Linked DNA regions of Drosophila melanogaster. Changing the gene in region 2 together with the main gene of any one other region gives a genetic interaction. Each region holds a gene or a part of one and is shown on either strand. Other genes may lie near its edges.

Region 1 (3,753 bases), on a different chromosome or scaffold from region 2:
GGCGCCGTCGGAACTTCATGTGACACCGTTCGCACTCGAACGGCTTTTCACCGTTGTGTACCAGCATGTGGGACTTAAGCTGATTGGAGTCACTGAATTTGCCATCGCAGATTTCACAAGTATAGGGACGCTCTCCAGTGTGGACTCGCAAATGTCGTCTAAGATTGGCCACCTGAACGAATTGACGATCGCAGTGCGAGCAATGATATGGTTTTTCTCCAGTATGCAAACGCATGTGGGTTTTTAAGTGATGGTCACGAGTAAACCGCTTGTGGCACTCCGGACATTCGAAAGGCTTCTCACCGGTGTGGGTGCGTTCGTGGTTCTGAAGCACGTGCTTATAGCCAAAGCTGCGTGAGCAGATTTTACAGGTGAAGCTTTTGTCGCGAGATGGATCCTTGGAGACACCGACACATCCAGCATTTCCACCCGCTCCGTCGTGCGTTGAATTAGGAGAGCTGCCACTGGAAGGCGGAGATATTGGGCCTCCCGATGTATGGTACATATCGTTTACACTCATGCTGATCTCGGTCTGAAACTCCTTCTTAACCGATAACTTTCGAGCCTTCTTCGCTGGCTCATGGTGCTGGGGAGTGCTGTTGGGGGAATTTAATGGGTGCTTGCCACTACCTAAAGGAGTGGACAGCGGCGAGTGCGGGCTGGCTGGCGGCGAATGTAAATGCGTACCCTGGGGCGGGAGCGACTGTTGGGCAGCCCAAGCCCCAAACAAAGCCGCCGGATTGTGTGGAAAGAGAGTGTTGGCCAATGTGCTCATGGGCAGTTGGGCCATGAATGCGGCAGCTTGACGGTTTGCAGCCAGAAGTTGGGTAGGTGAGAGCATTCCAAAAGCTGAGGCAGCGGCCGCCTGTTGGAGACCCATAGCTGGATAAATCGCAGCGGCGCTTGTAGCTGATGTGTTGGCCGACATGGGGGGCGATAGCGACATGGAACGGTCTAGATGAACGTCCTCTTGTTTTATGCCAGCTAATGCAGCAGCTAAGGCTAAAAAAAAAATCATAAGTTAGTATGTTTTCATTTGGAAATGTCTTAAGAGCAACGGCTTAAAAGAGAAAAAAATTTTACATATGATACATGTGTGAGAGAAAGTTTCGTACGGAGAGAACTCTTAGTGTTTTCGCAGCTCTCTATTTTCGTCTAACTAGTTTTTGTTTTGGTCGATAACGAGTTAAGTGCCGGTTCCTGTCCAAACATGTAAACAAATTCTAACTAATCGGTATGTGTGCAATTACATTACATTTGTATTTTCTATCCTAAAGACATCGGACTGTTTAATAATGAGAAAGTGATCGGGGACTCTAGAACTTCTAGATAGTTTACAAACTTGGGGAATATTTTAATTTGGTCTAATACTTACTTCGCGTTTGTGCGTCTTGAAGCATTGATATGGACATCAACAAATTCTTCTTGTGCTCCTAATTTTGTGCTCGCGCAATGTTTTCCCGCACACAGAAAACACCTATAATATTCGCCTTCGTGGTTTTGGAGCTTCAGTTTTTTAGACAACAAAATTTCATTTGAGCAATTTGTGCACTTTCAGGGATATGAATAATTTTTGTACACACTTTTGTACTTTGAGGTAGAGAGATTTCACAAAAATTGTCTTTTATAAAAGTTTACCGATTTAGCAAAATGAGGTAGTTGAAATTTGATTCGATTATATTACTCGCGGTTGTGTGTGGCACAACAAATGGTTGTTCCTTTCGCTGACAGAGCCAAATCACGACTGATACAAATTCGCTGCGTGAGCTAACTATAAGTACGCTCTGTCTCGGCGAAAGATTCTCACTCACCCTCGTACGCACACACGCCGGGACTCAATTGGCTCTCCCGCTCACACGCACGCAAATAAGGGTGCAGACAGGAAGGGAAATCATCACGGCGAAAGCGAAAAACGATCCCCAAGCCTGAGCAGGTAAAGTAAAAACTGGGTACTTCGCTGAGTTGAGTGAGTTGATTTCATCGATTCCTTTTTATACCTAAAAGTGCTAATTTTTCATATGCAAATTGGTGCGAATGAGACAGCTAGAGGTTCCTTTCAATGCAAAAGATATATAGTCAGTTAGAGTCAAATATGGACGATGTGGTTTTTTAACATAGGTTGTCGATGCGAATTATCTTCGCTGAGTAGAGGGTTTTATGACCTTTACGTTTCTAGTCAGTAATAAAACATAAAAAATCAGAACTATGTGTTGACCGTTAAAGGACATTTTTTAATGCTTATGACCACTTCCGCTTGTGTTTTTTAGAGCCTTCATAAAAACTGCACTTGCAGGAATATTACACCACATAAAGATCACGTAGAAGTTTTTAGAGTTAGTAAGGGACGCACAACAAAAACTCACTCAGATGTGCCTTTGTCATTTCCCCTTTTTACATTTGAGCTATAGAAAATAACTAATGTGTCTAAGGGGGATGAACGCCAATGGAGAACAGGGCGAAAATGAAACAGCGAGAGCAAAAGAGCCAAAATTCATGAAAAGAGATGTCACGGACGGGGTTGAATTTCAAGCGTGCGCTGTACGAGTAAACAGGAAGTAAACAAAACATCGGCTTAAGGAGTGCAGAAAGTAAGAAAGAAGGTCGACGGTTTTTTACCAGCTATACTGAGTGAGTTTTTTGTCTTCCTTGTAGCCTGTTGAGCAAAGTCTCAAAGACGTGGAAGTTCAGTTTAATGGACAACTAATTATTGGCACACGTCTAAAAAAGAAATCGTAAAAAGGAACTAGTAAAAAACGGATTCAGGTAGAAAGGAAATATAATAAAAAATTGTAAGAGAGCTGCATCGTTGAAATTTTCTTGCTTGTATAGACGTTTTCTGTGACTTTTGCGGATTGACTTTTAAATGGTTTTATGTAGATTTTTATGGCAAGGACATGCTATGTTAAATTTATGTTGAAAATCGGTATTTTTGGTTTTGTAGGTAGGCCAAGGACGCTCAGAGCTCACCGGGTGGTAAATTTGAACTACCGTGGATTTTAAGAAAGTGAAACCAAACAAAAGCAGAAAGGCACACAAATATCCTTGCTCTGCATAATGTTACGTAAAATTATAATGGTTTTGTCATCGAATGTTCGACTTCATAGAAAGTTTTTCACCAAAACAAAATTCGCAGAAGGCATTAAATAATATGCAAGCAAAGCGCTTAAAACTGACCCTATTGATAAGAAATTCTTAAATTTCGGGCTGAGCTGACCGGTTTTAGAAAATCTTCATACGATTCCTATGTTTCGGCGATTAGTCAGAAATTTTTTTTGGTTGTTTGCGTGATAAGCAGAGGCTTGATATTGAAAGATCCACTTAAGCTCAACAGATTTTAATAAGATCCGGGCCTTATCGTTAATGACTTTGTCGGCAATCACTAAACTAGAATAGTATCAAAGCGAGTAAAAGAAAAATAGACTAGATTTTGATTGGCAAAGCGAACTAAAGATTTCCGAGTGAATGGGGCAGAAGTGCGTGTAAAGTGCGTATGGTCGAGGCCGCTGATAAGGTCCGAAATATGGGAACTTACCTGGGTCAACAAAATTAGTTTAGTTAGTTATTATTCTTTAATATTAATGAGTAGTTTGTAAAGCTGGGTCAAACTCATATTCTAATCGCGCTAAGCTTTATTTTCAAAGAAACCACGCGCTAAGCTAAAACATTTTAAACTATATTATTTTTCGCAAGAATATATCAATTATTGAGCAAATATATGAAGTGAAAACGAGGGTTGTCATCAAAGGGGAAATG
Region 2 (3,753 bases):
TACACACGCCCACAGTGCAACAGCGTCGAACGGAGAAGCAGAAGAGAGGCGAATGAGGGCAGGGACAGAAGAGAGAAGAGGCCTGTAGACAGAAGAGGAACAGCTGCGAACGAATTAACATAAATTGTATGCAAAATTGGGGTGGCTATGGATACTGCTGCTTTTTGTTACACAGCGGCGGCATATTGTTTATCAGTTTTCCTATGAACTACTACTACATTCCAGCAATTTCCTCGCGAGACGGGCACCTTCCCATCCCATCCCTTGGCATCGTCTCTTTTCCACACTCTACTTTTCTCCTTCTTCATCTTACTTGTGTGTTGGCATATTTTGATTAACTCGTTAAAAAGACTATACTTTAGTTGTTTTGCAGGCACTTCGGTAGGATTGCATTGGTAGCTATATTTTTGTTGTTGTTTTTAACTAAATTTAATTTAAACGCGTCGGGTTTCTGTGAGTTTTTTTTTATCATATACGTTGGAGCGACAGAGACGGGGCGACGGCGACGTTTGGCTGGAGCGCGCGTGCATAACACGCACACACACAGAGACGCAAGTACGCGAGAGAGTGGAGAAATCAATCAAGAGAGCACGTCGGCGAAGGGGGAGTGGAAAAAATCACATATGTATGTGCGTCAGTGGAAGTGCGACAAGATTTTCCACAATATTCCACGCATCTTTGTTTCGTTTCTTTAGATATATGCACATATTGCTTCGTTTTCTTTTTGCATTGCTTTCTTACACAATTTATAATATATATATGCATATTTTGTGGTAATTTCAGGTTTTTATTTTTTGCACACACTTTTCATCATTCTTTTTTCGCTTTTCCTTCAGTTGGATATATTACGCACTGGATTTGTGGCTTTACACTGGCAATCGGTAGGCGGTGGCGAGTAATGCACGTATTCCCCTTAATTAACAGTTTTCTCTACAATTAATAATGTAATCTCTTTAACAAAAACTCAGAAATCACGTCATGGCTGCCACGTCCAAGCAACAATGAATGTAAATGGTGGCAGATGAGGCCGTCTGGGCATTCTCGACTAGCTCCAAAAGGGGCACACTATTTTTCTGGTGATACCATTGCACAGCCGATGATAACACTGCATATACGGTAACACCACAATAAGTGTGAACTAAAATGAATTTTCCGTATATTACAATTGACACTTGACAATTCACAGGTAAAGTAAACATCTTAATTGCTAAAGAACTTAAGATAAAACTTAATTTTAAAGGATTTACAGAGTATTCCACTCAAAACTTTCGACCAAAACAACCATGTAAAACATATGTTTTGATGAGTGAGCAGGACGTCTATATATTGCCTGCATTCGCGAATGGAGGGAACACAAAAATGCAATAAAAAATATGTGTGGAATGGAGGAGGCGCAAAAGACCCCAAAAAAACGCGCCACACATGTACAAATTTCACCAATTGCTGTAATACAAATAGTTTATAACGAGGTACAGCAATGACAATGACCAATTAGGATAATAGGCAACAATAAACAATGGGAGGGGGACGCAGCACGCTGCGCGGCTTTGCGGCTCTTGAACATGACCACGGTTCTTAGCCTGACCGAGCGACGGTCGGACCGAGTTTTTTTCACGCCGACATTTGGCCGACTGAAACAATGCACTTACCCTGGAAATTATCGTCATTCTCTTCCTCCGATGCCATTGTAGCACTCGAATGCAACTTTTACACTGTTTGAGCACACGAAATTGTCTTAATTTCCACAACAAATAATTAAGCACACACAGACACGACGAGAAAAAAATAGTCAATTGTAAGCGGCTTCAACAAATATGGCGGAGCGGAGAGCGACAAAAAGTGAGAGAACTAGGGTTGCACCCCGATAAAAGAAAGCGAAACGGTCACACTGGCGACATGACAACCCTGACTTTTATGTTTTTTTAACGACCCTGTCCTAACGTGTTTCGGAGAATTTTTCACCAAAGACCAAAAACCTTGTGTATTGTTTTTGAATTGCAAATCGCTGATTTAAGCTCAAGGAATGTGCCAAGCAGTTGGTAAATAACATTTACTTTTTAGTCCGACCCATTTAATTGCGAATTATGTCGTCCATTATCACGCGCAAGGATGGCGACGACCAGAAATTGTCCAAAAAGCGCGCTGCCGCCTCAGATTCCAAAAGTGGTGGTGGAAGCGCCCTTGAAGCGCCCAAGAAATCCCGCTTCGATGTCCCGGAAAAGAATGGCGGCGGTGGTGAGAAGAAAGAAGAGGTCGCCGTGCCCGCCTCGCTGAGTTCCACGCAGATCAAGCTGATGATGGCCCATGCCCAGCGGGAGATCGAGGAACGCAAGCGGGCCCTGAGTAATCTAAGAGACAAGGATCCGCTGCTGGCGTCAGTTCCATCGATCGGAATGCCAGTTGCCTTAGCCACTCAAGCGCTGGCGAAGAAGCCCACGCCCGAGGACTCGGAGAAGGCCAGGAAGATTGCCGAGTTGCAGGCACAGATCAGGGCCAAGCTTACTGGCAATTTGGCTAGTTTGATTCAGCCCACTGCGGTAGCGGCCGCCGCTGCAGCTGCTGCTCAAGCGCAGGAGCGACCCAAACCCCTGATTCTGGACGATGAAGGACGCACTGTGGACAAGAGCGGACGTACCATTAATATTCCCACGGTGACACCTACATTGAAAGCCAACATACGCGCCAAGAAACGGGAGGTGTTCCAACGCCAAACGGGTTTGGGTGAACGGAGTGAATCGGGCACTTCGGCCCAGGAAGAAGCTATTAAGTACTTTGACGACCGCATAGCCCTGAAGCCCACTGTTAGAACCAAGAGGACGTTGAGATTCCACGAGCCCGGAAAGTTCCAGCAGCTGGCCGAACGAATGCGCATGAAAAGCCAGCTGGAGCGACTACAGAATGAGATTTCGCAAATAGCCCGGAAAACGGGCATCTCGTCGGCCACCAAACTGGCATTGATTGCCCCCAAGCAGGACATGCCGGACGATGTGCCTGCCATGGAGTGGTGGGACTCAGTTATACTGACCCAGGATCTGGAGACGGTAGACGACGCAAGCGGTAAGATAAGCATACGCCAAACAGCCATAACCAACCTTATAGAGCATCCCACACAAATGAAGCCGCCAAGTAAGTTGAAAGCTAGAACATGTCCCACAAGCAACTAACCACCTACTCCTTCAGATGAGCCCTTGAAACCAGTGTATCTGCCGGTTTTCCTCACAAAGAAAGAGCGCAAAAAGCTTCGTCGCCAGAACCGTCGCGAGGCCTGGAAGGAGGAGCAGGAGAAGATCCGACTGGGTTTGGTGGCCCCACCAGAGCCGAAACTGCGCATATCCAACCTGATGCGTGTGCTTGGCTCGGAGGCCGTACAAGATCCGACCAAAATGGAGCAGCATGTGCGCGACCAGATGGCCAAGCGGCAGAAGGCGCACGAAGATGCCAACAATGCGCGCAAGCTGACCAGCGAGCAGAAGAGCGAAAAGAAGCAGCGCAAGCTGAGGGAAGACACCAGCTGCGGTGTACATGTCAGCGTCTATCGCATACGAGATCTGCAGGACAACCAGAGCAAGAAATTCAAGGTGGAGACCAATGCCAAGCAGCTGCAGATGACCGGCAGCGTGGTGTTGTTCCGGGATTGCTGTGTGGTTGTCGTGGAGGGTGGGCCCAAGCAGCAGAAAAAGTATCGCAGGCTCATGCTAACGCGCATTAAGTGGGAGGAGGACAACGCCAAGGGCAATGACGGCCAGGACGTGC

What was found. Genes that interact genetically often act in the same process or in processes that back each other up.
Region 1: of Mi-2 (region 2) and Kr, changing one enhances a phenotype caused by changing the other (phenotypic enhancement), as found in Drosophila melanogaster (2 studies listed by BioGRID).

Annotation. Positions count from the first base shown.
Region 1 is NT_033778.4:25,224,611-25,228,363, reverse strand, and holds the start of Kr (kruppel), read right to left. Parts: upstream 1,754-3,753; 5' UTR 1,413-1,753; coding exon 1,376-1,412; intron 1,003-1,375; coding exon 1-1,002. UniProt on the Drosophila melanogaster protein: Krueppel is a gap class segmentation protein. It is involved in the segmentation of the embryo and in the differentiation of the Malpighian tubules.
Region 2 is NT_037436.4:19,908,394-19,912,146, forward strand, and holds the start of Mi-2 (Mi-2), read right to left. Parts: upstream 1,823-3,753; 5' UTR 1,687-1,822; coding exon 1,650-1,686; exon of another isoform or gene 1,241-1,649; intron 1,187-1,240; exon of another isoform or gene 805-1,186; intron 1-804. Other genes in the region: Prp3 (precursor RNA processing 3), read left to right, coding at 2,085-3,126, 3,181-3,753. UniProt on the Drosophila melanogaster protein: ATP-dependent chromatin-remodeling factor which acts in nucleosome-remodeling by catalyzing ATP-dependent nucleosome mobilization. Involved in regulating transcription. Plays a vital role in development.